2 linked regions of the Arabidopsis thaliana genome follow. The protein of the gene in region 2 interacts with the protein of the main gene of each other region in a pairwise test. Each region holds a gene or a part of one and is shown on either strand. Other genes may lie near its edges. The genes, in order: AT4G23770 and bHLH121.

Region 1 (16,218 bases), on a different chromosome or scaffold from region 2:
GAGCATTGTCGTGTCGCTTTCGTTAAATACTACTGTACTATCTTTTTCTCTGCCCGTAAGGTTGGTTCAGAGGCTACTACATTTCTCAGGCCTTTTTTTTTTGGTTCTATATAAAACGTGAACTTAATTTCATGAGAAATTAAATATTTCCGACAATCTCAAAAATTACCCATGCAACTTGCTGATTATAATATTTTACGAGGAAGAAAATAGATATCGAAATGCTTTCAAACATTAATTACGTACACAATTCAATGACGTACGGCTATTATAAGAATCTAGATGCATAACTATATAGTAATATGTAGATACGAAAAAATGCGAAGTATTTAATACTTTGGGCCCCTCTTCCCAAAATGTTCATGTGAATTTCGTGATTATTCATGCATACTCATCAATAGACAATATGTAATGTCCATTCTATAAAATACTACATTTTAATCTTCGAGCTATAGAAGTATTTCAAGAATCATCAAGATAAAGAGAACAATTAAGAACTCAATCAAATTAAGGAAAAAAAATAAACAGTTTGCAGTGATTCACTAAATTGATAATTCAAATCTTGTGTGGGTTCAAACTTCAAATATTGGGCCGGGGGGTATTAAAGAGGTTTGTTGCATTTATATTTCGTTTATTCAAAAAACAAAAATAGTAAACAATCACATGACTTTTCCAGTGCCCTTTCCTAAATTCGTAAGGCTTGGCTTCAAGATGGTCATGGCCCATAGATGTATGCATATACACAATCATACATATACTATATAATGTATTGGTGTCCCCTCATGCAAAGATTTTGTTTGTCACAAAATTCCAGAGCTCTTTTACAAGATTTATGCCAAAAGATAAATGGGGACCTTTCATGAGAGATCTTCTCCATGATTTTCTAATTATAGTACTTTATAATATATCATGATAAACAAATCTTTGTGACACATTCAAGTATTCAACAGTCTGATACTTGGTAGAGAAGTAGAAAATTTAGAAGGTAAGAAAGAAAGAACATGGTAAAAGCAATTCTAACCATTCACGTCATGAGTTATATGATCTAGCTAACGTTCTCTAACTGTGTATTAACGACCATAACTACGATGACGCGTCTCAGATATGAAAATGGTACGGCTTTAGGATCCCGTGGTCCATCGAATCTTGACCGTCCACTTGGGTGGGGGCGTAATACCTGTTGGGCCATTGGATAAGCTTTTGTGGAATGGTGGAAATGAAACCAAGTGTTTCTTAGATCTTAAGAGTTATTGCCAAAAACCAATTTGTGAACCGGATCAAACCAGGATTCTGTTATATGTACCGGTCGGTCAACGACTGTCTTGGCCAAAACCCAAAAGGACATGGTTTCAAACTTTCAACGGATGTTTGACTTCTTACTGGTAAATCCTTTCCGTATGCATTATGCCTTATTCCGTATTTATTCCGTATTTTAGTTTGGTCTATCATCAGCCATTATATGTCTTTCACGTCCTGATGACATATTGATCTTGACTGAGATTTAGCAGAGATGTACATACGATAGTTTTGAAATGTTTTAAGAATGAATTCTGCATTAATTTTTCGTTAAGATACAAAGTTTTACACAATACATTATCTAAACCCATGATTCAATATAGAATTAGTTTTACTCAACCGACATTCTAATATAATCAAAAATTTGATGTGTGGTCGGATAGTGTACATATTTACATGGTCAAGATAAGCATACAAACCGTACAAATTAGAGGCATTAACATATATAGAGAATGTGGATAGTAAAAATACATGTGGAATAGAAAGTGAGTGAGACAGTGTCTCATGAAAAGTGGCAGAGACACATTAATAAATACATTAAAAGAAGGACCAACAAAGAAATTAAATGATGTCTAATTCATCTTCATATTTCACGTACCATTTCTCGTGCCATTCCCATGCACTTAACATGTTTGCTCTGCTTCTCCCTTTCAATTTTACTGAACTAACCTTCCAACTACCTTTTCGGTTATCTTCTCCATAATGTAACAATCTAATTTGAGTGTGAATATTGTACCATATAGGTGTTATAACGTTACTAGTTTTGTGACGATGGTCACGGCTTTAATAACATCATAAATATCCCCGAGATTTTGTGTGTGTTCCTCTATAAGAATTGGTGATCATGTAGCGAGTACTAATCAGCTTTTGATCAAAGTTAATGTTGTTAATATGTGATGGTTTGTGTAATCAACGTTTCAATATTATGTACAATTATTTAAATTATTGTGTTTCTTCTATACTACATCGTCATTCATTAATTTTTTTGACGATCTATCATCTACCAACCATCCACGACTATAATTGTATGTATATCAAATATTGTTCTGATAGTCAAAACATTATGGGCTAATTAAGAAGTTTGAACAAGAGTTAAAGAAAGCTTAAAAGGGCTTTGATGAATGAACTCAGATGGGCTTTATGGCCCATTAAAGATTTTGTTCTTTTTTGAGTCGTCGCCCCCGAGATCGTGGGTGATCCGTCTCACTGGAAACATCTTTGTCTCTCTGAGAAACCCCTCTTTAGGGTTTATACCTTCAATGGAGAAACAGAGTACTCAACCAATTTGCGGCCAAGAGGCTCTCCAACTTCTCAATTGCGTCGCGGAGTCTCCTTTCGATCAAGAGAAATGCGTCCGATTTTTGCAATCTCTCAGAGAATGCGTTCTATCAAAGGTTGGTTTTTTATCGCTCTAATTACTGATCTACGAGCTCGTGATTCATTTTTTTTTTATAAGTCAGTTGAATTTTTAGGACAAGGTATCTAAATTTTAAAATTCTATCATCGATCGATCAAGATATATCGAATCGTTATTGTCACTTATGCTTTATGACAATTTTGGAGCTGCTCTTGGTCTCTCATAGAAAACTTTTGAGAAATTATCACATTTTTTTCTACTACTGAGTAATGAATATGTAAATGCCAAGTTATTGGTGGAGCATTTGGAGCTTTACTTGATACATCTGTGTTAATAACTCTGTGGTTACACTTAACAGTTTCTGAGTGATTGTCATAGACACTAGGTTACTCTAAGCTAATACCCTTACTCTCGAGAAAAGTAGAAACAATGCAATGATGATTCTTGAGAAACTACAGATTTTCTTGTGGAAGCCATTAGAGAATGAGAAAGCTCACTATTAGTCTCTTTTTATAGGTAGCAATCAAAGTAGGAACTGGTTTTGTTCCCATTCTTGGTCTTGATCTTGATGGGTTATAACTTTTATGCGTAACATGGATCCTTACAGAATCACGTTTAAGTGCAAACTAGTGAAATCTCTCTATTTCTCATTGAAGTTTTTGGCTTTTTGTTTTGAACAATGAATGTTACAGAAAGTAAAGAAGTTCTCGATACCGAGTCAAGATCACGACTCTGAGGGAGCAGCTTCAGCTACAAAGAGACCTTCATAACGTTCTTTGTTCCGATTTTCTTTTATCGTTTGAGTTGTAATCATGTAATTGATTTTAATGTCATGCCTTGGATTCATAAGCTGGGTCATGCCTTGTTTCCCCTTTGTTGTCTTGTATGTTGAATATTGCAAACTCTAAAGAGCATATTTATAAGAAGAAATAAAAGTTTCTACATTTGACTTTCCCTCTTATTTTGGCTAATCTCTCATCCTCGATCGCTAACTTATTCAAATCATCTGTTGCAAACTACTTCTTTACTACCGTGTTGTCGATTTCATTCGTACAGATTATCTTTTTCGTTGATCAGATTCTCTTATTGCTCATCATCTTCAGATATTCATTAAAGAACACAGAACATGTTCAATCACTAAACTAATTCTTTTTCAACGGTTTATGGAACAATGTGAGAGTAGATTTAAGATGGAATCTGCTTCTCTTACTACCTTATTATGTGATACTAAATCCACTTAACATACTAACTTTCATATCTTAATCTCCTTACTCCAATAGCAAGAACAATGCAGCGGATATTCATAGTCATATACACCTACTAGAAATAAAAGCAACAAGAACTACTAACTTAAAAAGATTTGAAATTTCCCATTATCACCACTTCTGACTCTGTGCTTCTTCTCCATCTCCTAAATTGATTTCAGATCTTGATCAAAGAATGAAGTGGTCATGATCTGATGAGTTAATGAGTCTTCCTTTTCTTTGTCTTCGGTTTCCATCATCGTCCTCACTAGTCGACATATCTGCATAGAGATTTAGTCAGAGAACATGGTTTGATAGAGTAAGTGGACACACCACATATCAAAAACACTAAAATATCCCTCTTTGATAACTATTCTTCACATTAGGTCTATTTGCACTACCTGAATCCACACCGGTTTGAACATCAACAGACATTATGTATTCGATACTCCTTTCGACAGTCTTTAGCTTCTTCTCCATTTCACCAAACTTGTTCTCCCACTTTTCAATCACTTCCTTCTTCTCCAATGCTTCTTTTTGCTTAGTCACCAGATCTTCAACAGTGAATCCATGAGTTTTCTCTAGCAACTCGAGCGTTTTAATTAGGCTCTCATGCTCTATCACCAGACTCTCATACTTGTCTTTCAAAATCATGTGTTCAGCAAATGAAACATTTTCACACGATTTGTTGTACTTGTTCACCAATTGGTCCAAACGACTAGACATTGTTGTCTTTAATCAATTCAAGATTAACCTGATTAACAAAAAAAATTGGAAATGTGTCCTTAAAAAGAGAAACTTTAAAATCTACAAAACCCTAAAACTCAGATCTTTATTGAGCAACCAAAAACAAAACTAAAATGTTAGAGACAGTCCACAAGATTCGGTCTTTCTCAAACGGATTCACACCATTTTTGTCCTAAACCCAAACCGGAACCAAAAGAAACAGAGAAAAAAAGGATTTATTTTTCCTGAGAAAATCTTACTCGGAAAAGAAAAAAGTCGATCTTTTTCTCAGTTACAAAGAAAGGAGCTCGGGTCGATGATAGAGACTACGCGACAAAGATGGAATCGTATCAATGGAACCCTAGAAAACAGAGAGCGGGAAAAGGCGAGACGAGTGTTTAGTAACGAAGAAGATGATACTTTATTTCATTTTCCTTGTTCAAAAATAATATTTAAGTTTTAATCTCCACCACTCATTTAGCCAAGTGGCCCAAGCCCATCTTCACCAGTTGATACACTCTTCTTGTCTCCTTCAACTTTACTTTAGTGATTGGTTTTAGTGATTAACCATATTCCAGATTTTATATGCAGAGACTTAGGGTCCGAATGGTAACCGCTGTTTTTGTTGTGCGGGGAAAGCGTTATTACACTGCGGTACGGTTCAACTGCGGTACGTGCGGAAGAAATATATTTGCAGAATTAGTGCGGTTTGTACAAAATAAACGGTACAAAATAATGTTTGATTGGTGAAAAAAACTACTTGCAGTGCGGATTATAAATTATATATATATATATTAATTAATTATTTTTTTGTGTTAATAAATAAACAATAACAAATATTTATAAACTACTAACACAAAAATTGATCAAAATATAAATTTAATTTTATAACAAACATATCGTTACATGTGTTGACTAATTTCATCATAAAAATATTTAAAAAATATTATTTATTAATTTGATTTTCCCATAACATATTTGTAATATTGTCTCTTATTTGCGTCATATGTTTTTTATTTGTTATCTCTGTTACTTCTATGTCATCTAAATCATGATCAAAATCTCTATTATTTTTATTTGTCTCTGTTATTACATTTGCAAAATCTGCATCTGAAAAGTTTGAAATTATGTAATCTCATTATAGCCATTACCACTTTTTTTTTAATACGAACATTATATTTTGAAAAATCAGAAAGAATCCTCCATTTTTTTTTCCAAACTCCAAAAGTTCTCTATATAATAGAACCTAAAGAAAAGTATGATGATGTCGAAAAAAGAGAGAGAAAAAAAAAGACAGGTTATAATAAAGCGAAAGAAAAGTTTAGATATGTTTATTTGGGTAAAAAATTATATATATAATTATAAAAATGCTTCTAATAATTAAAAAATACAATAAAACATATGTGTAAAATTTACTGCGGAATTGGTTGGACCGCATGATTATGGAAGTTTGTTGTTTTCAAAAGCGGTCTGTAAGTTTTTAGCTTATTTTGAAAAACGCGAATAGTGTTTTGATAGAAAAGTAAAAAACGTGTATATGTAATAATTAATGGTGATTGGTAACAATAGTGCGGTTTTTCGAATTAGGTGTTGAAATCCGCAATTTTTGTGTCGCCAATCACAACCTTATATACAATACCTTTGCTTGAAGACCTTTCCGTTTGAAGAATGCTTTGAGGGCAATACTGGAGTTAATCCCTCTCTTGTTGAAGCACTCTATGATTGCAGAAGTAGAGTGCACTTGGATCAAAAAAGGTACAAAGTCAAAAAACATCATTTTGAGGCCAAAAAAAAATGAGGACCTTGTACTTCCCTGTCCTAAGCTATAATCATCTCTATCTTCCAAGAGGAATAAACTTATCATCAGATTCAATGAATATCATAAACTAGCTAGTTATTTCAATTTTTGTTTAGTTGTTACTATATAGAACAATCTGAAAGTAGATTAATGATGCAAGCTGCTTCTCTTACAACTTTGTGTTGGGCTAAATCACTTATTACACAGTTACACTACAAACTTTCATATCTTATCAACCCTCCTAGTCCATCAGAGAGACTCATAGTCATCTACTTCTACTAACTTCCAAAGATTTTGAAACTTCCAGTTTCACCACCACATCTGACATTGTGCTTCTCCATCTCCACATCTTGATCACAATATGAAGGAGTACTCTAAATTCTTATGTGATGAGTTACAGTTTCCTACATTGCTTTCACTTTGGGTTCTTTCATCGTCGTCACTAATCTCTATCACATCTGCAAATAGAAACATGTTTAGTTTATGTAATGCTAACACATTTAGTTAGACACATATCAAAAAACACTTAAAATTACCCTCTTGTGATTCAAACTTGTTCACATTACGTTTGTCTGCAACTCTTGCACCACTTGGTCCTGAACTCATACCATTCATCACAGTTTCTTCACAAGACTTTAAGTATTCAAGATCCTTATCAAGCATCTCTTGCATCTTCTTCCTTTCACCAATCTCCTTGTCAAACTTTTCAATCTCTTCTTTCCCAACCAATGCTTCTCGCTGCTTCTTCTTCACTAAATCCTCTAATGTGATTTCGTGCTTCTCTATAAGCTCGAGTGTTTTGATTAGGGTTTCATGTTCTTTCACCAGATTCTCGTGCTCTGTCACCAAACTCTCATATTTCTCTTTCCAAATCTCGTGTTGAGCTAGTGGAACATTATCGGAAAATTTGTTATTGCTGTTCTTCTCCGATTGGTTCCCAAGACTAGACATTGGTGTTCAAGTTCAAGCTTAAGCCTGTAAATAACACAAAATACACAAAACCACAAAGATTTTCTGAGAAATCACTCGCAAATTAGAAACTTTCACACAGTCTCACTCTACAAAAACCCTAAACCCCAAATCTCCACTGAGCTACCAAAACTAAAATGTTCGCAAAAAATCGAAAGATTCAGACTTTCTCAAAAGTATTCCTATCAGTTTCTCCCAAATGCAAACTGAAAACTAAAGAAACAGAGAAAAGGAGTTTTCCCGAGAAAATCTTACTCGGAAAGTAAAATTGCTGATCTTTTCTCGATCACAGAGAAATAAGCTCGGTTAGATGAGAGAAATTGTGCAGAAAAGGTCGAATCGTAACAATGGAACACAGATTAATGAGCCCTAGAAAACAGAGAGCGGGAAAAGACGAAAGCAGAGAGTGGAAACGTTAACGAAGAAGATGGATAGTTAACTAAATTAATTATCATTATTCAAAAATTAATATTTATTTTAGTCCCAAATCATTAGCCCAGCGGCCCAAGCCCATTATCAATCAAACACCAAGTATTGCTGTCTGAACTCTTTTTTTGCCTTTCCTTGTTTTCTACTCTTTCCATGTTAATTAATTACACTTCTGGTCTCCTAATTAGGTGATCCTTCATATCAATGGATTTGAATGTATTTATATGAGATGATATTGATCATAAATGTCTGAAAATGTGCTTCAAGTTTTGGAAAAAGATGTATAACAATATCGTTAAAAAATTTACAAATCTGAGTATTTTAGTGTAATTAAACTAACTAACTAAGGAAATCCTTTTATAAAATAGTGTTTGAAGGAATTGAAACAAACATTATATCACCAGTCTGGTTAATTGTGTGATATAAACAGATTAATAGATTAATACGTCTCTATTCATTATTTTACTGTATGGTTCTTTTTTAGAAATGGTCGAATGATTTAGTAACATATAATAAAGAAAAGTCCCCAGAGCTTTGGTCGGTCGAATAAACATAACACACAAATACCAAAAAGGCAAAAACAACTCACTGAACTGTTTGCATATCTTCATCTTCTTCTTGAGATGAAGTTGAAGTTGTCATCAATCTCCATGAATCATAAGAATGTGCTTCTCATCAAGCTCATCTCCGCTATTCTGATATCTTTTTTCGCGTTCCGTCTCTTCATTCTCCACTCCAGCGAGTTTTCTCCAATCTTTGCGTCGGTCACCGGAAAATTCGAAGCTCGGTTTCTGCCGCCGGAGATTATCGTACCGGAAAATGAAGATCTGATTCCTCAAGGTAAGATCAGTTATTTAGAAAGCAAAAGTATTTGACTTCTATGTGTATTGTCCACTGTGTTTGACTGTTTGTGACTAAACCTTGTTTTGTGAGCACAATTATGATTTATGAGATCTAAGGGTTTTGGATCTACAAGATTTAAAGCTCTGTTTACGTTTTTTTTTAGATTGTGGTTTAGAGAATAGAAAAAAGGAAATGACAATTCATGGATCTTGCTCTTCTAATTTAAAGTTATTCTTGTGGTGACTTGTATCATTTGATAAGTGATGCTAATTAGCTGCAATGTTCAAAGACTGGTTTCTAATAAATTGATCTTGGACTAGTGTTACAACATTTTGTATCAAAGTTGATCTCACATTGAGACTTAATTTTTTTTTTGGGTGGTTGTTGTTTCTTGAATCAGATATTGAAGTAGAGAAGTGTGATCTTTTCGCCGGAAAATGGATCCCAGATTCAGTAGGACCAATCTACACAAACAAATCATGCGGATCACTCATTGACGGTCACCAAAATTGTATCACCAATGGCCGGCCTGACTTAGATTTTCTCTACTGGAAATGGAAACCTCATGACTGTTTGTTACCACGTTTTGACCCTAGAAGATTTCTTCAACTTATGAGGCATAAATCTTGGGCATTTATTGGTGACTCCATATCTCGTAACCACGTCGAATCACTGCTTTGTATGCTCTCTACGGTATAACACTTGCTTGCTTTTAACATATCTTTGTTTCGACTTTTTTTACTTTTCAAGTTCTTGAGAAACTCATTTTTGTTTGGGGTCTCTCCAGATTGAAGAACCGGTTGAAGTATACCATGACATGGAGTACAAATCAAAACGTTGGCATTTCCCTTTACATAACCTTACTGTATCCAACATATGGTCGCCATTTCTTGTTCAAGCCGCTATTTTCGAAGATTCTAACGGTGTCTCGACCGCTTCTGTTCAGCTACATCTTGATAGACTCGATGAGACATGGACCAGTCTCATGCCTAGCTTCGACTATGCGATCATCTCAACCGGTAAATGGTTTCTTAAATCCGCAATTTACCACGAAAATGCAAAACTCGTCGGTTGCCATAACTGTCAGGAAAAACCTCACATAGAAGAGTTAGGATTCGACTATGCTTATAACGCATCGCTGCATAATGTCATGGACTTTCTAGCAGCTGAAGATAACAGTAAAGGCACGGTTTTCTTTCGGACTTCGACTCCCGATCATTTCCAAAACGGGGAATGGCATAGTGGCGGGACGTGTAAGCAAACAGAGCCGGTGAGCGATGAGGAGATTGAGATTAAGGATGTACATAAGATACTAAAAGATATTGAGATTGATCAGTTCAAGAGGGCGGTTAGAGAGAAGACTAACCAGGACGGTGGGAATCTAAAGCTTTTGGATTTCACCCGGATGTTGCTGACCCGACCGGACGGTCATCCGGGTGAGTACCGACAGTTCAGGCCGTTTGATAAAGACAAAAATGCAAAGGTACAGAACGATTGTTTGCATTGGTGCTTGCCTGGTCCGTTTGATTACTTGAATGATGTTATATTGGAGACTATAGTAAATGGCTGAGAGGCACACAAAATGTGATTGGTACATGGCCAGTGGAAAACCGGTTCTATGGAAATAAATAGACTAATACTGAACAAATTTGTGTGAATTGGAAACATGTAAAATTATGTAAGAAAAATTGAGATAATGTGATATTGATTCTTGGGAGCTAGCCGGTGAAGGAAGCATAACCGGTTTGGTAATTGAGTTAATTTTTTCCGGTTTTGTAAAATCATTATTTATGTTTTTTTCTGTTTACACCAGATTTTGTCCGGTTGAAATCGGTTTAGATCTCACTGATAAAGTGATAAGAGTTAACATTTCTTAAAGATAAACAAAATCCCTCAAAAAAGGAAATTAAAGAAATATTCTTCCAACTGTTGAAAATTCAAAAAGATTAACAATTTACAAATATATCCTCGGACGCCAAAGAAGTATCAAATCCACGAAATATTTTTTTGAATTTCGAATTTATCAGACCGTTGTGTTTCTTTCTATATAACCCCGAAGATATTTTACGGAGGCTCCACCTAAAATTCTCAATCCCTAAATTTCGAAATCTCACTCTCTCTCATTTTCGACTTTAGAAATGGCGACCAACGCAGATCCAGCTCCGACGAAGAAACCAAGGAACAGTAGAAAGGCGTTGAAGCAGAAGAATGAGCTCGTGGAGACGCCACCATCGCCTGTCTCCGTCAAGGGGAAGTCAGCGAAGTCTTTCGAGCAAGATCTGATGGAGATGCAGACAATGTTGGAGAAGATGAAGATCGAGAAGGATAAGACGGAGGAGTTACTTAAGGAGAAGGATGAGATTCTGAGAAAGAAGGAGGAGGAGCTAGAGACCAGAGACGCTGAGCAGGAGAAGCTCAAGGTGGAGCTGAAGAAGCTTCAGAAGATGAAGGAATTCAAACCTAACATGGTATAATCTCTAGATCTAGCTTTTAGTTCTCGATTTGGCTGGGTTTTGTGATTATATTGGAATTTATTGATTGATCATTTCAGATTTTGGCTTGATAGTCAGTTTCTAGATCTAGGTGTTTAGATTAGGTTGGAATATATCTGGTTTATGCTTATTCCGAATGTGTTATTGATCATTTGAGATTTTGTTTTGATAGTTGATCAAAGTTTCGTCATAGATTCATAGGTTAGAGATTAGAATCTAAGTCAGAGTCAGGATTGGTTCTCGTTTAGTGTATGATGCGTTTGTTGTTGACACAGTTGCTAATATAGTGATATGTTCATTTCAATTGACAATTCCTTGTTATCTGTTGTTGATGATGAGAAAATATTTACTGGTTTCTGGATATTGATTCGAGAGTGTTTTGTGTTTTTTGCTCTTCAGACTTTTGCTTGCGGTCAGTCATCTCTCACACAGGCTGAGCAAGAAAAGGCGAATAAGAAGAAGAAAAAGGATTGTCCTGAGACAAAGCGACCATCGTCCTCATACGTTTTGTGGTGTAAAGATCAATGGACTGAAGTCAAGAAGGAAAACCCTGAGGCTGACTTCAAGGAGACTTCGAACATTCTGGGGGCTAAATGGAAGTCTCTTAGTGCAGAAGATAAGAAGCCTTACGAGGAAAGGTACCAGGTTGAGAAAGAAGCTTACCTCCAGGTCATTGCTAAGGAGAAGCGCGAGAAGGAGGCCATGAAGCTTCTGGAGGATGACCAGAAGCAGAGAACTGCAATGGAATTGCTTGATCAGTATCTCAACTTTGTCCAGGAAGCTGAACAGGACAACAAGAAGAAGAACAAGTAAAAACCAAAAGTCTTAGTGACTATATCAATTTGATCATCAATAGTAAACTAACTAGAGCTGTTTATGGTTTGCAGGAAGGAGAAGGACCCTCTGAAGCCAAAACATCCCGTATCTGCCTTCCTTGTTTATGCAAACGAGAGGAGAGCTGCTTTACGCGAAGAAAACAAAAGCGTCGTGGAGGTAAATCTAATTACTTAATTCGTTCTCCAGATCAGTTTTTGTCAAATTGTGAAGCTAACTTATGGAGTTTAAATGTGGTTATAGGTCGCAAAGATCACTGGAGAGGAGTGGAAGAACTTGTCAGACAAGAAAAAGGCACCCTACGAGAAGGTCTGTTTCCATACAAATATGCTTGCATTTCACTGCCATTAAAGACTTAAGACTGAATGATTGAGGTATTCTTGTTTAAATAGGTGGCAAAGAAGAACAAGGAGACATACCTGCAAGCAATGGAGGAATACAAGAGGACAAAGGAAGAAGAAGCCCTGAGTCAGAAGAAAGAAGAAGAGGAACTCTTGAAACTCCACAAACAAGAAGCTCTTCAAATGCTTAAGAAGAAGGAGAAAACTGATAATCTGATCAAGGTAATAACTCTCTCTCACTCACACTTAACTCACCAAGGTCTATTTCAACTCAGAGACTCACAGGATCATAATTATTTGTCTCTTGCAGAAGGAGAAGGCGACCAAGAAGAAGAAGAACGAAAACGTTGACCCTAACAAACCAAAGAAGCCTGCTTCTTCATACTTTCTCTTCAGGTATGAACTTACTTCAAGTTATAATCCGAATTGGTCTTTATAGAAAGTTCCTAACTTATCATGTTTTTACAGCAAGGACGAAAGGAAGAAATTGACAGAAGAACGTCCCGGGACAAACAACGCTACTGTTACTGCTCTCATTTCACTGAAATGGAAGGTATGAAAAATCACAATTACTAGCAACAAAACACATTGGCTTGTAACAATTTCCTGTTGTTAATCTATCTGTGCGAATACGTCTTTGCAGGAATTGAGTGAAGAAGAGAAGCAAGTTTACAACGGAAAGGCCGCAAAACTGATGGAAGCATACAAAAAGGAAGTGGAAGCTTACAACAAGAAGTCTGCGGCTACTACCAGTAGCTAGATAAATCTCTCTTAGTATTGAAATCATGTTCAAGTCCTGTTGAACATTCCTTATTATGCATCGTTAGATTACTCTAAGTACTTTTATGTTTTAACTCTCGCTGATCATTACTTACTAGTTACTATCTATTTCTCTGTTACAAATTTTAATTAATAATAAATCGACTCGTGTAAAAACGCGGGGAAAGTTGTGTCAATCTCGACCGTTGGATTGAACCAGTCAACAACGTCGAAGATCGGAGAACTCTCCACGTGGCCGAACTCGCCGTTGATAGTTCCGTAATTGTAAAACGGCGGCGTATCAGGGAACGAGAAAACGTCTTTACCATCATCAAGCCCATCGGTTCGAACGGTTAAGTTGGATTTAAGACTCTCGAGAATATCCTTTGGCTTTTGGGTAATGGCTGGTTTGACTCTGGTGTCTTGTCGCTTCTCCGGCGAGGCTAATGGTGGTGTTCTTGTGATCGCCTGCGAACAAGTGTGTGTTCCTCTGTACGTCACTTCGAAAACCGTAGCATCCCCGTCTGATCTCTGGACTTGTTTCGTTGCCCAACAGTTTTGTGTGCTACGATGTGTGCATCTGTAATAACTCCTTGGGAATTTGGCGCCTAAAATGTCTTTTTGACCATATTTTCTCCAGCTAAAGACATCATCTTGAGGTCCTTCTAAGCCTCTCTCTGGGCTTATTCTCACTTTTTCTGACCACTTTGGTAACATCTTTCTGCAAAAATTACCCAAATTTCAAATTAGTTTCTAGAAAAAATGAGATTTTTAAATTCAATTTGGTGAATTGTGAAAAAAGATATCAACAATTTGTTACCTTTTCTTTGAATTGAAAATGTAATCTTGGCGATGATGACTCTCGCTAGAACCTCCTCCATCGGCAAACTCTTCACTTCTCGGACTTCCGTTTATCGATGCCGGAGATTCTGGAACACTGCCGGGATTTGCCACCGGGACTACAGTAACCGGCGTCGGAATAAGTTGTACGCTCGGTGAGGATGACCAGTTTAGCAGAAGAAGAGATCTCTCGTAGGAAGAAACTATCTGCTTCACCAGAATCTCGTTAGTCTCAGCAACAGCCGTCGCCGGTGATGAAAATGATGACGACGGCGACGGAGCTTCTCTAAGTCGTGCCTGAAGCTTTTTGGCCGCATCAAATCCATTGATAAGCTCGCTTAGCAATGTCTTTTGCTCCCAACTTAACATATCTCTTCCTTCCATTTTTAGTATATGATTCCCAAAATAGATTTTTTTTTTCCTTTAGGTAGTTTACTCTAGGAAATTGATACAAACTATGATGAGAAAGATGTATAATGTGTGTTTTAAGTATAAATCAAGAATTGGTTATATAGATGGACTGAAAGAATGATATGATCAGAAAAATATAATGTGTGTTGAGTATAATTAAGAATGGGTTATATAGATTGAAGAATGATATGATGAGAATGAGAGTGTTATAGGATTGGTGATAAAAATGGATGAGTGTTGGTTTGGTATATAAAGGCATTGGATTTTCAGTGTTTGAAAATTTGACCAAATGACCAAACCATAAATAATTATTTTATTTCTTTTTAAAAGAGAGACAAAACTTTCAAATTGAAGAAAAGTCTTTGGTATAAGGAAGTATAGGGCCAGAGTGTAATTGATAAGTGGGGTGGTGGTAGTGAAAGAGTATAAGGTCAAAGGCTGACCAATTCAACATTTCAATTTTGTTAATGTAGTTGTAACCAAGTTTATCATTTATTTAACTATAGTGGGTTAATTATATAATTAGACAACAAAGGGTTATACAACTGTCTCTTTCAATGTACACTTTCAAAACTACGACTTTGTACATGTGATTAAGATTCTCTATTATTATATGTTTTTTTCTACTGTTAAAGAATTTCCAATATATGTTTTTTATTTGATTAAGAATATTTTCAAAATATGTTGGTTGATGCTTTACTAGTATGCATTATGCAACAACCTTTCTATGGATAATATTTCATTGCTATAACTATGAATTGTAATGATGTTTAATATCATTAATAAGGGAAAGGATATTCCACATTCTGTTTTAAGTACAAGTATCAAAACACATATTGGTAATTTGGTATAATACAATTCTTATTAACATTCAATAGATTAGCAATAACATAAAAATTATGTTGAATGAAATTTACTAAGATTTGATTGTTCTAGTTTTAAAATCATACACTTCTAAAAATAAGATATAAAATAAAAATCTGATGAGGATTAATTAATCTGTACAAAATTTCTTCCTAAAAACCCCTATATGTTTTTGTTTTGTGTCAATATATTTAAGCATACATTTGTTCAAGATATAATATTGTATTAACATGAAAAAATATAAATTTGTTTGGCAAAGAAAATAAATAATAGTTGCAGTCTAACAATATAACTAAATAATATTTAAAATGGTAGTTGCTTATACATATATAGTCTGTGAGTGATTATGTGAGCTATGTCAAGTTGTTAACTGTTTCTAAATAAGAAATATTAAACTCGAGAGGGGAAAATAATACAAATGGGTTTAATTTGGACAAATATATATGATATGTTCCATAAGAATATAATCTACAAAGTTATGTGATAATACACCAAGAGTATGACAAGGTTTTTGCTGACCAAGTCACCATGGAATTATCTCAAATAGTCATATAGGTGTGTGAATAAATATTTATTTATGGTTGAGACAAATGGCCATTAATTTGGACAAAATTTATTTATACATAATGATTGATATGTTCCAAAGAGAAAAGTAGAAAAAACCAGTCACTGTGTGATACGATATATACAATACAACAAGAGTATGATAAGGTCTTTGCTGACTAAGTCCAACATCAAGCTATCTAAAGTAGTCAGATCGATAGATGCATTCCATTCCAACATTCATTTCTTATGATTAATCCTTTTTAACTTTGTATGTCATCAAATATTATTCAATTGTAATTTGGACCTCTCATACGTAAGAAATAACCTTTGTAATAATTGAACCGTTATCCAAAAAGTTACAGCAAAAATCTCATAGCTGAAGTTGACACACACGAGTGTAGTGTACAGGACCAATAACCACTAAAAGGTTTATGAACCATATTTACCGTTTTACTAATGAAATGGTTAC
Region 2 (17,515 bases):
AAATCAATCAAAATGGTGGACACAAAAAGGCAACGTAAGAAGAGGAAGAGGAAGAGCAAAAGGTAATAAAACTTTATTAACAGAAATACCTTCTTCCTTTTCTTCATTCGTTTTTGTTCTTTGTTTTTGCAATGTCCTTTGGACAAGACTAGTCAAATTATTTCGTTTCTGTTTGGTTGAACAGACAAGACAGTTTGATCTTAAACTTAGTTCTTTGCTCTTTTTATCTTCAATTACCGGCATAGTTAACATATTTTAATACTAACTTGTTTTGTCTAAATTCATTTATTAAGAAAAAAAACAAATACATAGTTGAAGATCTAACCTAGAATACATCAATTAATTAACTATGATACAAAATGATGTAGTAGATGCAAAATATCTTTAGACTCATTTCATTGAGGCACGAATAAAGTTCTTGTCCACTTGCATTAATTTCTTCTTCATACAAATAAGAATATATTTCTCCAAACAAAACAATTTGTGTTTGTTCGTTTAGGTAACTTAATGTAGGTGAGCAAAAATTATATGAAAAACCAGTAAAAGTCTCTTATACTGCATAAATAAAGCTCATATAAGCTAAGCTAGCAAATGATCTGTATGCACCAATGTGGATCCTTCACCAACTTCCATTTTTGCAATACTCTTTATTTTTCTCATTTTCCCTCTGATTTTCGTCATATCAGAACCTCTTGATCATCTCCATATCTAATGTATTCGAAGAGAGCCCCCGCCGAGGATGAAGTAGATCGATATGCATTTCTGTGTCATGTTTTGGATTAGAGAAGTCAAGAAGAGTCATTATAAATGACAGTCAAACAAGGCTACTACAGTTGAAACTAGTTTTGGTCTTGATTTTGAGTTACATGAAGATAGCTGTTTCTTCATTGACGAAGAGAAGAAACTCGCCGTGGTTTTTGATTTAGCCGAATCTAAACGCTGCAAAACAGCTAATGCTTACATCATTGGAGGTGATGGATACTTAATAAACAGTGAATCTTGGAAATAATAAAGCAGATAGTTATACCGAACTTATGGTATTTAGCTGTTATGTTCCAAGTTTAGTGCAAATTGATGACCCAATTGCAAGACGCGATAAAAGAGAGAGGAACAGGAAGTGGATGAGCAAAAGAAAAGAGAAGAAGAGGAAGGGAACCAACAAACAACAAGGTCTAACACCAATGAAAAAGAAACAAGAAGTACACTTACTATTAATTAATCGCTAATACGATGATAGCTTATCTCTTTTAGTTTAAAAAGACATTTTTATCTGTCAGAAACTTTACTAGAATACTTCTTTGCTCTTTATCTCATATTTCACCGGAAAAATTAACAGATTTTGAAACAAATGGTGTATCTCTGATTTCATTTATTGAAAAAATAACATATATATGATACAAAACAACATCCTGAGACTTTTTGTAGTTGTTAGTTTTTGTAAGTAGGTGCGGGACAAAAGAATAAGAAATGGCAGTAAACAGTTACTCCTATTGCAAAAGCAAAGCTTCTAAGTAATCATCAAGACATCAACATAACATAAGCTAAGCAAGGCCATGATCTGTTACTTATATATGCTGCACCAATGTCGATACTTCAACATCTTCCATTTCAAACAGCAGATGACATTTTGGCGGCAGAAACATCAACATCATACCCGGCTCTAGGGGAGTGCCAGAGGTGCTAGTGCACATGGTCCTCATTTTTTTTTCTTAATTTTAAGTCTTCTAGTTTGCAGATTTTTTTTTGTTTAGGGAAAAACTACAAAGAAAACAGCCACCAAAATAAAAGATAATAAGTTTAAAATAAAAATACAGTAAACACATGTCACATAAGATTATTTTGTTTAGATTTAAGGGCCATTTTTGTTTGTAGCACAGGGCCCAATAAAATATTGAGTCGGGCCTGTATGTATGTCATGATCAGTTGATCACAAAGAGCGCCTCGGTTTAATCTTGTTTTCCCTGCCGAGGGTGAAGTAGATTGATTGATCATGCATTTGCTTGATCGCCTTGTTCTTCTTCTAGGTTTAGTATTTATCCATTTTATTCAAGTATTTTGCATATCACACGTTTCCGTTTCATACATTATCTGTTTTGTGTCAAATTTTGTATGAAAAGTCAGTTCCTTCACTTCATTCTTCTATTAAAGAAGACAATAAAGAAAAATATAAATTATATGTGCCTATTGGAAACGATTTCCATTTTCTTTTTTTTTGTCGATTTAACATTTTGCAAGGCTTACATATTTATCTCTTTGAAGGTTATAAAAGAAAAAAAAAGAAAAAAAGTTTTGGCAAAGATGAGTTACGCTACGCATATATAAGAGTGGCAGGCGTGAAAGCTAGAAACCCTAATTTTCTTATTTGAAAACAATGACGATGATGAGTGATCTTACGCAGGATTTGGTAGAGGAGATACTGTCTAGGGTTCCGATAACTTCTCTAGGAGCAGTGAGATCCACCTGCAAAGGATGGAACGCTTTATCCAAAGAACGGATTCTATGTATAGGAGAACCAAAACAGCAGTTTCTAGGGTTCATGATGTTGGATTATAGGCTTTGCTCAATGAGGTTCAATCTTCACGGAATCCTCAACGAAGACTTTGTTAGTATATCAATGTATCAAGTCGAAACATCTCAAGTCTTTTACTGCGCCGGCTTATTGTTATGTGTAACAAGGGAGAAGTCATCAAGGCTCATTATTTGGAACCCGTATTTAGGACAAACCAGATGGATCAACACCAAAACCACAAAAACAGGATACAATACGTATGCTCTTGGATGTGACAACAACAAGAATCACAAGATATTGAAAGTTTTCTGTGATGACTACCAGTGCTACTACGAAATTTACGATGTAAAGTCTAATTCATGGAGTGCTTTTAATGTCACTGATCCCAACTGGCATATAGACTATGATATATGCGCATTGGTAAATGGAAATACTTACTTTTTGACTAAAGAAAGAATACTAGTGGAAGATTCCGATGAAGATGAAGATGAAGTTGAAACCCCTGAAATCTTAATCTGTTTTGATTTTACGGCAGAGAGATTTGGCAAGTTTCTTCATCTACCGTTTCAGTTTGATATTGATTTCGGAGATACCGGAGGTCTATCTTGTGTTAAAGAAGAGAAACTCGCGGTGTTACTTAAACGCTATGATCAAAATGTGATAGAGATTTGGGTTACTACTAAGATTGAGCCCAATGTGGTGTTTTGGAAACCCTTCTTAAAAGTTGATATTGAGACAGTACTCGGTGCTCTTCTTGATTTTCAGCTTGACAGTTTCTTCATTGACGAAGAGAAGAAACTCGCGGTGGTTTTTAGTTCAAACAAATCAAAATGCTACAAAACAGCTTACATTATTGGAGAAGATAGATACTTGAAAGAAGTGGATCTTGGAGAATGTAAACCATTGCGTAGCCCAATTGTGTGTTTTAGCTCGTATGTTCCAAGTTTAGTGCAAATCAACCAAATTGCAGTACCCAAAAGGAGAGAGAATAAGAGGAAGAGGAAGAGCAAAGGAAAGGGTAGAGAAGTGTGAGGGACCGAACCAACAAGGTTTACCACTAAACGAGTACATGAAGACTAAACATTAACCTACTAGCTTTTTTTTTATGATAATAGTTTTTTTTCTTTTCTTCTTCTATTTAGTTAAACAACAGTTTTAGAACTTTGTCATTTATGGCCTTCCAAAGATACAGATTAACTTTAGAACCATCTCACTTGCACTAGTTCCTACTTTATCCCAATAAAAATAAACTTCTCAAAAAACAGAATTTGTGTTTGTTCGTTTGGGTAAAACTTTACATGTAGGTTGGGCCCAAAGAATAAGAAGAAAATAGTGAAAGTCTCTGCTATTATTACAAAAACAAAGCTTCTAAGTAATCATCAACATAAGCTAAGCAAGGCCAATAATCTGTTCTTATATGCACCAATGTCGATCCTTGCCCAACTTCCATTTCAAACATTAGATGATATCTTGGCGGCAGAAACATCAGCATCTTTATCGTTCCCATTTTCCCCCTACTTCTCGTCATCGGAACCTCTTGGTCATCTCCATATCCAATGTATGTCAGACGAAGAGGGCCTCGGTTTAATCCCACCGAGGATGAAGAAGGCTGGTCCGCATTTGTGTGATCCCCTTGTTCTTCTTCCTCTTCCTTCCACACAATGTTCTCAATAATTCCTCCGTCTCTTACAATGTTTACAAGCTGTTCTCCACTGATAGCCACCACAAAGGGCGCTAAACGAAGCTCAGTGGCCTGTATTACAGTTTCCGCAGGGACTTCAAGCAGTTTTACTGACCGAGTCCCGCTGACTGCTGCAGCCATTTTGCCACCTTTTAGTGCAAATGTTTCGTGTGCAGTGCTGGACGAAGAACCACACACTTCCCACAAAGCATTGAATAGATCTGAGTAGTAGCTCGGTATTGTATCTTCAGGTTCGTCCGGTGGAGCAAGAGCTTTTAGGAACATGTCTTCAATCCCCACAGGGACACTCTCGAGTTTTCCCTGAATCATCTGACCATTCTCTGCATTTGCTTCCATTGAAACCTCGACCAAACCTGGTGTAGGTTCTCTAGGTTCCAGTTCCACTGTTACAGGTGCTCCTCTCAAGCCATCTTTTTCCTCCTCTTTCAGTGTGTTTTCTACCACGACAATGTCTAAAGAAACTTCTTCATTGGGTACATTGCTGTTCCAATGAGGCTCACCGAGAAGGAAAGGTATGCGACATGAGGGAATAGAGCCATAAGGGGCTGAAGATGAGAATTTGAGCACCGTCGCGAAAATCGCAGGAGGTGAGTCGACTTTCTCTAAATCGATTTTCTGAGTTTCACTTCCCCATATACTGCTATATGGTTCAGCATCCAATCTCAAAGTACACGTTATTCTAACCTTAATTCCTGGCATGTGTTTGAAATCAGGAATCACAGAGAAATATCTTCTTAATCTTTCTAGAATCTCTGCAATCTTTGAGTCCATTACCCTTAACGTAGGTTTTCCTGATTCAATTCTTCGAGCTTCTGGCAAAATCTGAAGTTCTTGACTGCCATCCGGCTCAACTTCATCTACCTGGATTTTGTTTTCTATAATGCTATATCCATCAGTTCCAACACTTAGAGATGGTAGAGACAATGACCATGACTGTTTCACGAGTAGGGGCGTAACCCGTTCAAGATGAATATAGGATGAAAGGTTCCGAGATTTACTAGGATCATGACGAAAACGAGGACTTTGAACACTAAAAAATGTAGAAGAATGGGTTGATGGAGTGACAGCATCTGCCGGCTTCAAAATGTTCTTAATTCTCTGTCCTGGTATACAGACCAGCATCCTCAGATATATCCTACAATGTACCAATTTATGAGGTAGAGTTAACGTCATCACAATTCATAAATATTAGAAAGATTCGTTTACGTGGGTGTCATGGTCATACCTAGCATTGTCTCGGACCTCCAGATCAGGGAAATAGAGACATGTGAGGGAAAGAAGGCGAGAGAGTCCGAGAAATAATCTAGAGCTCTTATGGTGACTCATCAATGTTCGACAGATGCCAAGAACTTCAGTTCCTTGATCCCACAATTTCAACCCCACATCAAGTCCGCGCTTCTCAACAAGTGAAATTACAAACTTCGTAAGCAGCTCTATCAATCGAGAAGGAGGTATTGTATCATTCTCGGCTATTCGATGGAAAAGCGGGAAGTAAGCTGTTAATAAGTTTTTTTTCTTAAGTTTGGGAAGCAGATTCTCATCGACTATCTGAAGAAACCGCTCTCCTAACCACTGATGCTTGTGACAGTGAATCAACCGCTCAATAAAAGCCACAATAACAGGGACCAAGATTTGAAACTCCAAAGTCATGTCTACCAGCAACCCCTGAATTAAATATAGAAGACAATCAAAACAAATGAAGAGTATATCTGAGAGCAGAATCAGCAAAAGATTGGTTCCTGAACTAAAAGCTAATTAGAACTAAAAAGGGCCACACAGTTCCGTTCCTTCTGAAAACTAGCAAAAGTAAACCATCATCAAGCAAGACCAAGAAGCAAGTAAAGAGAGCTACAGACCTGCACGTTTTGGAAGAGGCTAGACTCCATAAGGATTCTAGTGGTGGAAGGGTCAGAGTCGGAATGTGTAGATGCACATATCAGAAACTTGTGTAAAGTGCGGAATGCTAGTTCAGTTTCTGAGCTCCATGGAGGCAACCATTTGAAATCCGAAACCGATACCAAGCAGTCCTGCAACAAATCCCCAGCAGATTTACTGTTATCACCTCCACTCAAAGCGTTGGAACTCACAGAGCATTGTACCAGCAGATCAAGCTTCAACGCTTTCAAAGCGAGTGGATCAAAAACGACAGGATGAAACTTCTGACCCATCTCAAGAACAGATGTCCTCTTCTCAAGCTCCCCACTCAACATATGCTTATTCAACAAACCCATTAACCAGTGCAGCGCAAGCAAACGGAAAACAAGATAGATCTGAGTCTCCTTTGAAAAGAGCATAAGACGTCTCATGATCTCTTTCTCTTGTCCCTCAAACGCATCAGGGAACCGAGAATACATAAGCAAGACAACATGACAAAGCATTGGATCAAACGAATAAATCATCCCCAAGAACTGAACTTTCAACATAGAAGCCTGTAACTCCAACGCCGATGCAAGTGGCACAACCATACCCATAAATTCCATCATAGCACAAGAAGTAAACAAATACGGAGATTCCAACATAAAAGCCAATGTTCGTCTCAGTTCCTTCTGATCTGGCCCCAACCCTTGACCTTGACTCATAATCGAACTCTCATCACGCATCCAATTAGGAGCATTAAAAGGCACCAAAGGTACAGAGGTACTAAGAAGTGAAACCTTAAGCTTCTGATTAACCACATTGTAGACAATTGTGGTGAACAAGAGAAGATAAGCTTGCACGGCGTGAGTTCTCTCCGCTTGACACAACGACCAAAGATGACCAGCGACATCAGATAACAAACCAGGAAAAGCTTTCTCAAGCTGACGTAAACACTCACAGGCGATAGCACGAGCTTGTCGATCAAATCCGTGGTTAGGACGATTAACGAGCGCAAGAAGCAAATCAACAACTGCTTCAACGTGACCTACAGAGAAAGAATCAATCGATACAAGCACAGACGTGAAAGAGACCATAGCTTGCTCTTTCAATCCTGACGATCCATCAGTTGGAGATTGCACGATCGTCCGGAGAACATCGATGAAGCGATCAAAGGTATCGCTACCACAATTATCAAACAAAATCGGGGAAAATTCATCGAGAAAGACTAGGATTGAGAGCTTCACTGGTGTAGGGAAGTCTTTTTTGAGGAGAGACGAGAGAGCGAAGTCCACCAGAGAATCAATCTGGAAAACGGAAGTGAACCAGTCGCGAGGAGCGCCGGCGTCGCGGAAGTCGTCGATGAGAACGTCCCAATCTTGGATAGAGAGAGGTCTCGCCGGAGTCTTCTCCGGCGTCGTCGTGGTCATTCTCCGATTGAATCTAGGATTTGAATCTGAAGAGGAAAATGAATCAAAGTCATTAGAGAGGAGAAGATAAGACTATCCTCGTCGCCGGCAGTAATACTCCGAGATACAGAACAATTCACCGAAGCTGCTGACTCATTTATCTAATTATTTATTTATGTTCCATATTTTATTTCAATTCTGTCTCTATCTACAATATAATTAGTGTCTTGTAACTTAATTTTTCTTGCTACACCAAAACTCTTTATTCCTTCGAAACCTGGCAGCCTCAGGCACCATCCTGTAAAAATCTTGGATAGTATAACCAGAGGTTGGAGTTGGTTGTTTGTGATCTGCGCTAGAGAATTGCTCTAGCTCATCGAAATGTAAACTTCTTCTTATGTTGCCTTGTGAATCGATAATGGGTTGTGGAATGGATGGGCAAGACTTTTACATCTTATGGTCGTCCTGTGAAACAGAAACGATAGGTCAAATGTCTTTTGGTTTTTAGTTTGTTTTGTCTTTCTCTTCCGTATTTCCTCTCTTTCTTTTGCTCTTCATGGCGTTCGAACTCTCAAAGACCTAGTTAACTTCCATGACATACTAAATACTATGCACAAAGGATATTGGGTATGCCCTATGTTTTGTCTTTAACAATTATTTTATATACATGCAGACTATTATCTAGCGGTCTATGAGATGAGTGGGAACCGTGTCGCAGTCATATTTGACAATACAGGGTATACAACATCAGAGGAAAGCGAAACCAACAGAGCACTCCCACAAACTACATATGCGATGGATAGAGGGTATATTTACTTCATACTGTTCTCTATGGTTGATGTGTAGTCGCTGTATATTCGGAGAAATTTTCCTGTATCTAGACAGTTGACATCATACGAACACGTAGCTAACGTTTAGCACCAGCTTAAATTGAACTTGAACTTAACTACAGTAAAACCTTTACAAATTAATAATGTTGGGATTCTAAAATTTTATTAATTTATAAAGAAATTTTTCATAGTAATTTTTTACTATAAGATTTCTTTCATTATAAAAAATATTTTTTTTATAACTAATTATAAGTAAAAAATAATTCTCATGTCTAAAAAATAACACCAAATTTTTTTTGATACAGTAAAATATTAGAACTAAATTCAAATAAGTACAAATGAGAACTAAATATTAAAAATATATTTCAAAGAAATTTCTTACATATAATATATATATAAATATATATTGTTGATATATCTATATCATTACTAATTTATGATATTAATGAAACCATATATTTATGGTGAAACTATATTTACCGATTTAAATGTAATTCTTTTTGTACAATAGTATAAATAATCTATGATTTTTAAAAAAAAATCAAGATATAAGTTTGTTTAATTTATAGGATTAATAAAATTAGTAGATTTGGACACTGGAAATTACAAATCATCCGAGTTTTAGAACTAAAGCAGACCTATTAAGGATGAAAATCATCTGAGAAATGACTATCCGAGGAAAACGAATGCCACGGTGCATCAAAACACTGCTTTAAACAGCTAAGTGCATTTTGTACTCGCACTATATACAGTACTCATCGAAACGATACTTGGATACTTGAGATGATCAACATCAGATTCTTTCGAATCATTTTGCATCATCAGGTTTTTGGCCACCAGCTACGCTACTGGAAGAACTGTGGTCTCGTACGCTCGGAGAAGATGAACACTTGCTAGAATGAGAGCTTTCTTCTATTGAGTTGTTGTTGTTGTTTCTCTTACATCTCTTTGTCTTCTCTGGCCTTTGCAATGTATCCTTCAAAATACAATTTCGCGAATAACTGTGAAGATAATAAATCCGAAAAAAATTGGAGATCTCTAGCTTCTAGTTTTAAGTCTCTCTACCTTATCAGAAGTAGATCCAGGGGTTTTTAATTCGAGTTGTGTTGCAACTTCGTTGGAGTCCTCTGCTTTCTCAGATCTGCTCTCTCTTGAAACCTTTGCTCTAGGTTCCCGAGAACGGTTACCGGGGTTCTGTGGAATGTGCACGGATTGTTGCTCAACGACTGTATTAGGAGGCATGTAGGGCATGTATGTAGGACATGGAGCTGGGATCATGCTAGGGTTCTGGTTCCCAAAGTATGTGTAAGATGGCATTGATGGATGCATTGGGATTGACCCGGGAGGCATAGCAATAGGCATAGGGTATGGAAAGGAGGGTGGTGGAGCCATCATGACTGTGTGATCCATCGCAGCTCCCCATGGAGACATTGACCTTAATCTCTGCTGGTATTGAAGATTGAGATTCTCTATATCTGATTTCAGCGATGTCTTTTCTTCTCTCAGGTCGTTTTTCTCCTGTGTCAACTACAGAAAGAACCGTTGTTATACAAGTACCAGTAAATTTGTAAGTGTTGCTATTGATGATAACAACAAGTCCTATAAGCAGTTACATTATATAGCCCGTCTGAGTTTGCATCTTACGAAATAGGTGTAGTCACCATATCGTAAAAGCAAAAAGACAATGAGTTATCTATATTGGGATCCCTATCGATATCTTTACGTCATGTAGACTGCTAATTTTTTCTGTTAGGAAAAGCCTGGAGCGTAAGGGATAAGGTACGAACCTCGCGGGACTCATCTGTCAATGCGGTGTACTCAGATTTCAGTTTGTTGACTTCAGATGTGAGCTCTTTCAACAACTGAACAGTATCAGTCAGAATCGTGGCTTTGTCATTCTTGGGTCTCTCTGGATCTGCAAACAGAAGAGCTATGTGAGGATCAAAGTGAGATCATCTGCTGTTTAGAAAAATCCACATAACCATTGAGTCTATACCGAGTACATTTCCCAGTTCAACAAAATGCTCATTCAGTTTTTCCCTCCTCAACTTTTCGCGCCCAGCTTTTTGTGACTTTCTAGCAGAAACGTCCATGACCTCCTCTTCTGCAACCAAAACATCGAATAAACTAAGAAGGTCATATTGCAGTCCCACTCTTAGACATATTTTAGTATCCAATTCCACCATAACAGCACATCGACCACACACACTGTAGCCTCAGAACTAAGCCTTGATTGACTTAACATAATTCTCTTTGAGTCGATAGTCAGGTATCATATGATCCCAGCTCACATACCAGACATAGTTACATACTTAGCAATTGGCATCATGAATTGCAAAGAAGGTTACTAGAGAAGCTAATCTCAAACAGAAAATTCCACATTCTTTTGTACACCTAATTTGGCAATAATAACATCTATCTCTATCAACAAGTTAGAGATTTAAACATCTACGAAAAAATTACTAAACGTTGTTGAAGAAGAACACAGGGAAGGAATTGATTTCCACGACGAACTAACAACACTTTCACGAGCTAGAGAGCTAAGTTCAAACCAATAAAACCCTCAAAATCAAAATAAAAATTCCTTTGATTAAGAGAAGTACCAGATTGTGATCGAAACCCTAAATAGGACGATGAATTCAGGACGATCAAATTGAAGAAAACAATAAGGCAGAGATTCACCGGCGGGAAGAATCGACGGCGACGGAGAGATTCGATGAGCTAAGAGAAGACAAGGTGGTTCGGCGAAGATCGATTCTCGATTCTCTAGCCTCCTCGCTCGCTCTCTCTCTCTGCTCACAAGCATTATTCCATTTTCTCTTATCCCCATTTTTTCAATTATTTTAATTAAAAAAAACAATATTCATTCTATCTACAATTCTGTATTTTTAAAAAAAAACAATTGTGTAGAATTTAATATGTCCAACTTCGCAAAAGCTGGAATTGTTTTTTTCTTTTCACTCCAATTTATGCATTTATCAAAACAGACACTCATTGTTGATTTTAAAAGATTCAATTGTACTTTTTATCCAACACAATTATAAAGTTTGAAAAGTAAGTACGAGATTTTTATTGTGAAACTAAATTAACTCTTTTATATCTTGAATCGAGATGGTGACATAATTGTACCGGACAAAATATCGAAAATTTTAAAAAATATTTTTACATAACCTCGACTATTTTTGTGTAATAATCAAATCATTTAAAATTGTCAAATTATAAAAATAGTTTTCACAAACGTAAGAGATACGTACTTCTAGATATACATACTTTCTGCAAGCTTTTAGTATATTTAGAAATTGTAAAAAAATACGTACTTTATGTTCTTACAACTTGACTGCAAAGTAGGTGTACTTTGACAGTTTCTTCTTCCACTACCCAATTGAATCCATCAACAAATATTTTGGCCAAAATGCACATCAAATTTTAATGTTCGTACCGCGTTTCGAATGATTTGCCGCTCTGTTGTAATATTTGAATTATAATCAGTTCGTTGATGAAGCAAATAAATCATGGTTCTTGAACAGTGTTAGCCGACTAGTTTTTATGTCTTAACCATTTTTTTCTTGCTCTCTAGAGCACTGCTTGAACATTATGATATTGTATAATTTTTGGCATAGAAATGTAAACTTGACAAAATTTTTGATGATTACTTAAGTTTTGGTCTCGAGATTCTAAAGATTTGCACAAAAAAACAAAGGATTGTTCTTCTAAAAGAAAAAGTTAAATCGAAAAGGACACAAAATTTATGTAATTTTATTGTATCCTCTTTTTGGGCTAGCTTTAGTCGATGAGGCCAAATGGGCCTGTTAATTATTTATTTTTACTTTAGTATTTTTTAAGTGGGCTTCTTCCTTTGGGGCTTTACATTTTTGTTGGTCCCTGTAAAATCCTGTTAAAGGGCTTAAATACTAGAGCACAAAAATTTTAAAACAATAAAACCTAAATCCTCTCGTCGCCTTCGTTTCTTCGTCCCACTCCCATCCCATTGATGAACCCTCAGAAGACTTTGCCCTAAACCTCACATACTATTCATAATTTGTATGGATATTAAAATGATATTTTATTTGGAAACTTCATTTTTAATAATAAATAAAAACTATTATCGGAAGTTAGTCATATTTTTTTATTTTGTACTCAAAGAGTCGTAATGTATATCGACATTGGTGTATCTTTTTTTTATAACATTTTTGTTACATATATCGTTTTCAATTACATATATTTTACATGGCTGGATTTGGATAATGATGAAAAGCAAGTAGTCGACTTTATTCACAAACGTTAGAGTCATAAAACCCTACCCGGCCCATTCACATGCAATGAAAGTGAAACTCCCAACTTTACAAGCAACTGATATATAAATATTCTACAAATAAAAAGGGAAGAAAACTCTTGAAATTACATGGAAGTGGAATAATAGTATTACGAATTTATAATGTAATGCCAAGAAAGGGAGAATATTTATAATTCACATAAAAACAAAGGGGGCACATTCATATATACGTTACGTGTGTATAAAACAGCATATAAATACAGAATATATATATTACAACTTGAGTAGCATAGTCCTTGAGCTATTGACAAGTCATAAGTGAGAGTTCATGAAGCATCATTTTCTGTGCTACTGGAAATATATATTTGATATTAGTCGTGACCTATAGTTCACTGTCTAAAATGTAAATCTTATTTGATTTGATGCAATACATTTTTACTTTACCCCAAATAACCTGAATAATGTTGGTCATAATTATGAATTATTCTCAACAAATTGTAAGCTATTTCCCTGCTGTTTGTTTACCCACCTACTGTATTTTTTTTTTCTTCCTCTAACACCAATTTTTATTTTATTTTTTGGCCATCCTGATCAATGAAGCATTAAGGAATCAATCTTTGCACCTGGTTATTTTTAGTAACAACTAACAACGCCTCGTCATATTGATTTGTGCTCTGCACACAAGATTATATGGATTTCAAAATAAACATGCAGTCAATTAATGCAGTTTATATAACTTTTCTTAAGTTCGATGTTAGAAAAAAGGTTTTCTAATGTAAAGAAGTAAACTATGCATGTCAAGCTAATTGCTCCAAAATTAATATCATATAGTACATTTCGATTAAGCAATGAATCTTATTATCTAATACCAAAAAAACTAAACAATAACGAACAATAATTTTTTCATTACAAACGGCAACAAATTATTACATTTTCACTATTTTAGATGGTCTACACACTAGGGTTACAAGTTGGTCCATGCGACCAGTTTATACAATTTTTCGATGACGTTTGTATATAAGTTCCTTTTGCATAAATTTATATGAGTTATAAAGGATGATAAAAGAAAGTGTACATTAGATAATTGAAATAAAGACGCCGAAAAAGAGATATATAAATAGCCGTTTCCATGTGATAACTATTATTGCTCTCTCTCTCTCTCTCCAATCCAAAAGGAAGAACAAGAACAAGAAAGCTCACAAGAAGTTTCATCTTCACCAAATGCAAAAGAAGTTGATACAATGTCTCTTTGCTGTGATCTTCAAATCAATCTCAATAACCAATTTACTTTCTTCGTCAATCAGGTAATAAACCAAATCAAATCTCCACACTAATTCAAACCCTAACTTCCTCTGTTTCCATTTTCTGAATTAAACTCTGTTTCTCTGTTTCTTGGGTTAGGATTTGATCTCAGAGTACTCAGGCTTCTTGAGGAAGATGATAAAACAGAGCAATAAGAAGAAAAAGAATCACAAGAACAGTAGAATCATCATCGAGGTTGAAGATTTTCCAGGTGGGTCAGATGGGTTCGACTTGGTTTTAAGATTCTGTTATGGTGGAGGAATCTCGATAGATGTCTCAAATGTGTCCATTTTGCATTGCTCTTCTGTCTTCCTTGAGATGACAGAGAAACTCTGTTCCTCGAATCTCTTGCTTCGAACAGAGAAGTTTCTAGAAGGAATGTTCTACTGGTCCTGGAACGACATCGTATTGTGTCTCAAGAGCTGCGAGCAAGTGTTCTTACACGCTGATTCTTACGGTCTTGTTGATAAGCTTGTTTTCGGGGTTTTAGCCAAAATCCCTCAGAATTCAGACGTGAGTCATGTCTTTTCATCATCCTCTCCGTCTTCCTCTGCCTCTGCCTCAGCCTCCTCTCAGTCGCCGGAGACGGCAATGATTAGGTCGTATTCAGACAAAAGGTCTACTTCGAGGTCTTTTTCTTGCAGGACAAGTAACGAGTGGTGGTTCGACGATATGTCAATTCTCGGGCCAAAAATCATTGAAAAGCTGATAAATACACTTGGTGCGCATGATAAGAACAATGACAGCTTGGTCCTCACAAAATTTCTTCTCCATTACCTCAAGACAAAGGTCCCAAACAAGTCAACCAACAAGCTCGAGTATTCAGGTTTAGCTGATACAGCGGTTCAAGGAGTGGTTTTCGCAGCGAAAACCGCGTTTTCATGCAGAAAAATGTTCTGGGTTCTGCGAGTTTTATCGGGATTTAGCATAAGTAAAGAATCAAGAATTGGTTTAGAGAGGGTTATAGGAGAAATGCTGGATCAAGCAACACTTGATGATCTTCTGATACCAGCTGGAGGAAAAGGAGAAAAAGGGGTTTACGATGTGGATTTGGTGATAAGATTACTCAAAGTGTTTGTAAGAATTGGAAACACAGAAGAAGGAGATCAGAATTTGAGAATGAGAAGAATTGGGAAGTTGATTGATAAGTATCTCAGAGAGATATCTCCAGACCAGAATCTTAAAGTGTCAAAGTTTCTTGAAGTTGCAGAGAGTTTGCCAGATTCAGCTAGAGATTGGTTTGATGGATTATACAGAGCCATTAACATCTATCTTGAGGTCAGTTTTTCACTCATTACATTTCTGTTTTTTCTTGTTTTTTTTTAATAGATTTATTTTCCAAATAATTGCACGTTGATTTGGAAAAAAAGATATTGAACAAAATGAGACAAAAACAAACAAAGTAGAGATTTAGCAAAAGAAAACAAACAATAGAGTGAAATAGAAGATGACAAGAAGTATACAAGTTTCTATATAGTTTGGCTTTTTACACTTCTCAAGAGAATAGATGAAAGAGTTTAACTTATCTTTTTGTCTTTCTTTTATTTGTGATATCTAAAGATTCGAAAATCTGAAATTGCATATATATGTGCATACTACTTTCATACACGTTGAAGTACTAGTGGTAACTTTGGTGGCAAAATTTTAATAATTGTCCTAAAACTTAAATAAGTGGAATTATATTGAAACTTTCAAACGCAAATCATTTACATTTGGATTTCTGTGTTCTACTAGTTAGAATATTTTGTCTGTATTTTAAAAGCATAACAGTTTTAACGTTGTTTAACAAAAAAAAAAAAAACAGTTTTAATGTTTGATCAAACATTCACTTGAAATTTGCAAACACAAATACGACACACAGACGTTTTGATTGGTTTGTATGTTTGCGTTTGCAATTTTCGAATACTGTTTGATAAAAACATTAATTAATAAACATGTTATGTGGTTATAAATAGTAAACAAATAAAAGAATAGGGTGCTAATGAGTAATTACTGTGTTATATATTGTCCTGGTTACTGGACATTCATGTGATCAGAATCTAGCTACTTTGTCTTTTGTTTGACTAATTATTTATTATTATTAAGTTTCTAAATAAGAAGAACAAGATTAGTTTCACGTGAAAACTAAATATGTTCAATCTAATTAAGCTTAATGTGATCTTGCAAAGAAAAGAAAAATCAATATGGCGTCTTCTTGCTTTTTTAGTACTTTTACAGTTTTACTATATAATTGGTTTTGTTTAGTCAATATATTTTGAAGGCATGAACTAATATAAACTATGATTATGCAGTCTCATCCGAAACTATCATCCGAGGATAGAACAAAACTATGTCGATGTCTAAACTACAAGAAATTGACATTGGACACATGCAAACAACTTGCAAAAAATCCCAAGATCCCTCCAAATATTGCAGTTCAAGCACTCAAGTCACAACAATTATCAAACGAGACTCGACCACACTCAAGAGAGGACAAGAACAAAGTAAACAAGATCTGGAATTCACGTAAGTACTTAGAAGAGAAACCAATACTGGTGTGTTTGAAAGGTTTTGATATGTCGGAGAAGTTTGAAGATGATCTAATGATGAATTTGGAGAGGAAGCAATGGAATAATTCTGAAAAAGTTAGTAAGGAGAAGAAGAGTGAAGTAATGTCAAGATCTGTGAGACATGGACATACACATTCAAGTTCTAGTTTTCCAAGGCTTTGTTAAATAATTAATTCACTCGTCATTTTTTTCTTATTTCTCTAGATATAGATTTTTATGTCATCATATCATCATCACACACATGCACGTCTCGTGTATATTATAAGCTTTTTCATGCAAAATGTATTTTACGTAGTTTTGAGAATGCATATAATTATGTCCTTGTGGATGCAAATAAAATGGATATTTTGTAATTTGAGTAATCATGGATTATACACTTCCAAATACGTTCTATATTTGCTCTTAGATTTGAGGCATTTGCTCAGAGGATGTAGAAAACAAAAAATAATCAGTTTCTGTTATACGACGCACATTTCCTTTAGTCACTGCAAGTTCACATAACAAGTACAGATTTCGAATATTATAGGATACACTTCAAATTTGGATTTCTGGTTCTTTAGAAAATAAAAATAAAAATGCTGATCGAAAGAAACTAATAGATGAACAAGTTGGCCTTTGAATTCATTGAGCATTGCATACAAAACAATTCAAAATCAAAATCAAATCACGGGAGAAAATATTTTCTTGGCTATATACGTCACATGCCCCCCTCCAGATTTGATATTCTTGAAATTCATGGATATTGAGATTACACCACAGACGTAGACTGAAAATTGTCATATCCTAACATTCCACTCTATACAATTTACCAAATTGTACTACATAGATTCTTATTTTTTTGTTTGCACGAAAATAAAAGTTGTACCATATAGATTGAACTGTAGTAATGATTAATATATATCCAAAAGAGTATCATATTTTTTAGATTGTCAATATTAGTAGATTCTACATCGTAGCCTAACAAGTGATAACTACAGAATAAAAAATTTGATTGATAATTTTCAGAAAAACGGTTTAAGTAAATCTTAAAAATTTTCGGAGTAACGTTTTTAATCTTCATTTTCTTATTCCCATCTCCAAACCTTAA

Evidence for each region.
Region 1: the proteins of bHLH121 (region 2) and AT4G23770 interact in a two-hybrid assay, tested with the Arabidopsis thaliana proteins (one large-scale study listed by BioGRID).

The regions. Positions count from the first base shown.
Region 1 is NC_003075.7:12,379,428-12,395,645, forward strand, and holds AT4G23770 (uncharacterized protein), read right to left. Parts: upstream 5,070-16,218; 5' UTR 4,624-5,069; coding exon 4,299-4,623; intron 4,179-4,298; coding exon 4,087-4,178; 3' UTR 3,737-4,086; downstream 1-3,736. Other genes in the region: AT4G23760 (Cox19-like CHCH family protein), read left to right, coding at 2,418-2,690, 3,346-3,423; AT4G23780 (uncharacterized protein), read right to left, coding at 6,776-6,879, 6,958-7,372; TBL24 (TRICHOME BIREFRINGENCE-LIKE 24), read left to right, coding at 8,443-8,659, 9,063-9,355, 9,450-10,232; 3xHMG-box2 (HMG (high mobility group) box protein), read left to right, coding at 10,801-11,130, 11,554-11,963, 12,042-12,147, 12,232-12,297, 12,381-12,551, 12,640-12,725, 12,798-12,882, 12,973-13,089; WRKY53 (WRKY family transcription factor), read right to left, coding at 13,239-13,809, 13,909-14,312.
Region 2 is NC_003074.8:6,897,461-6,914,975, reverse strand, and holds bHLH121 (basic helix-loop-helix (bHLH) DNA-binding superfamily protein), read right to left. Parts: upstream 11,220-17,515; 5' UTR 11,135-11,219; coding exon 10,987-11,134; exon of another isoform or gene 10,491-10,986; coding exon of another isoform or gene 10,409-10,490; coding exon 10,301-10,408; intron 10,220-10,300; coding exon 10,092-10,219; intron 9,832-10,091; coding exon 9,370-9,831; intron 9,281-9,369; coding exon 9,113-9,280; 3' UTR 8,769-9,112; downstream 1-8,768. Other genes in the region: AT3G19890 (F-box family protein), read left to right, coding at 1-66; AT3G19880 (F-box and associated interaction domains-containing protein), read left to right, coding at 2,372-3,541; AT3G19870 (AP-5 complex subunit beta-like protein), read right to left, coding at 3,861-5,346, 5,437-5,876, 6,068-7,495; AT3G19850 (Phototropic-responsive NPH3 family protein), read left to right, coding at 13,819-13,881, 13,979-15,157, 16,171-16,593.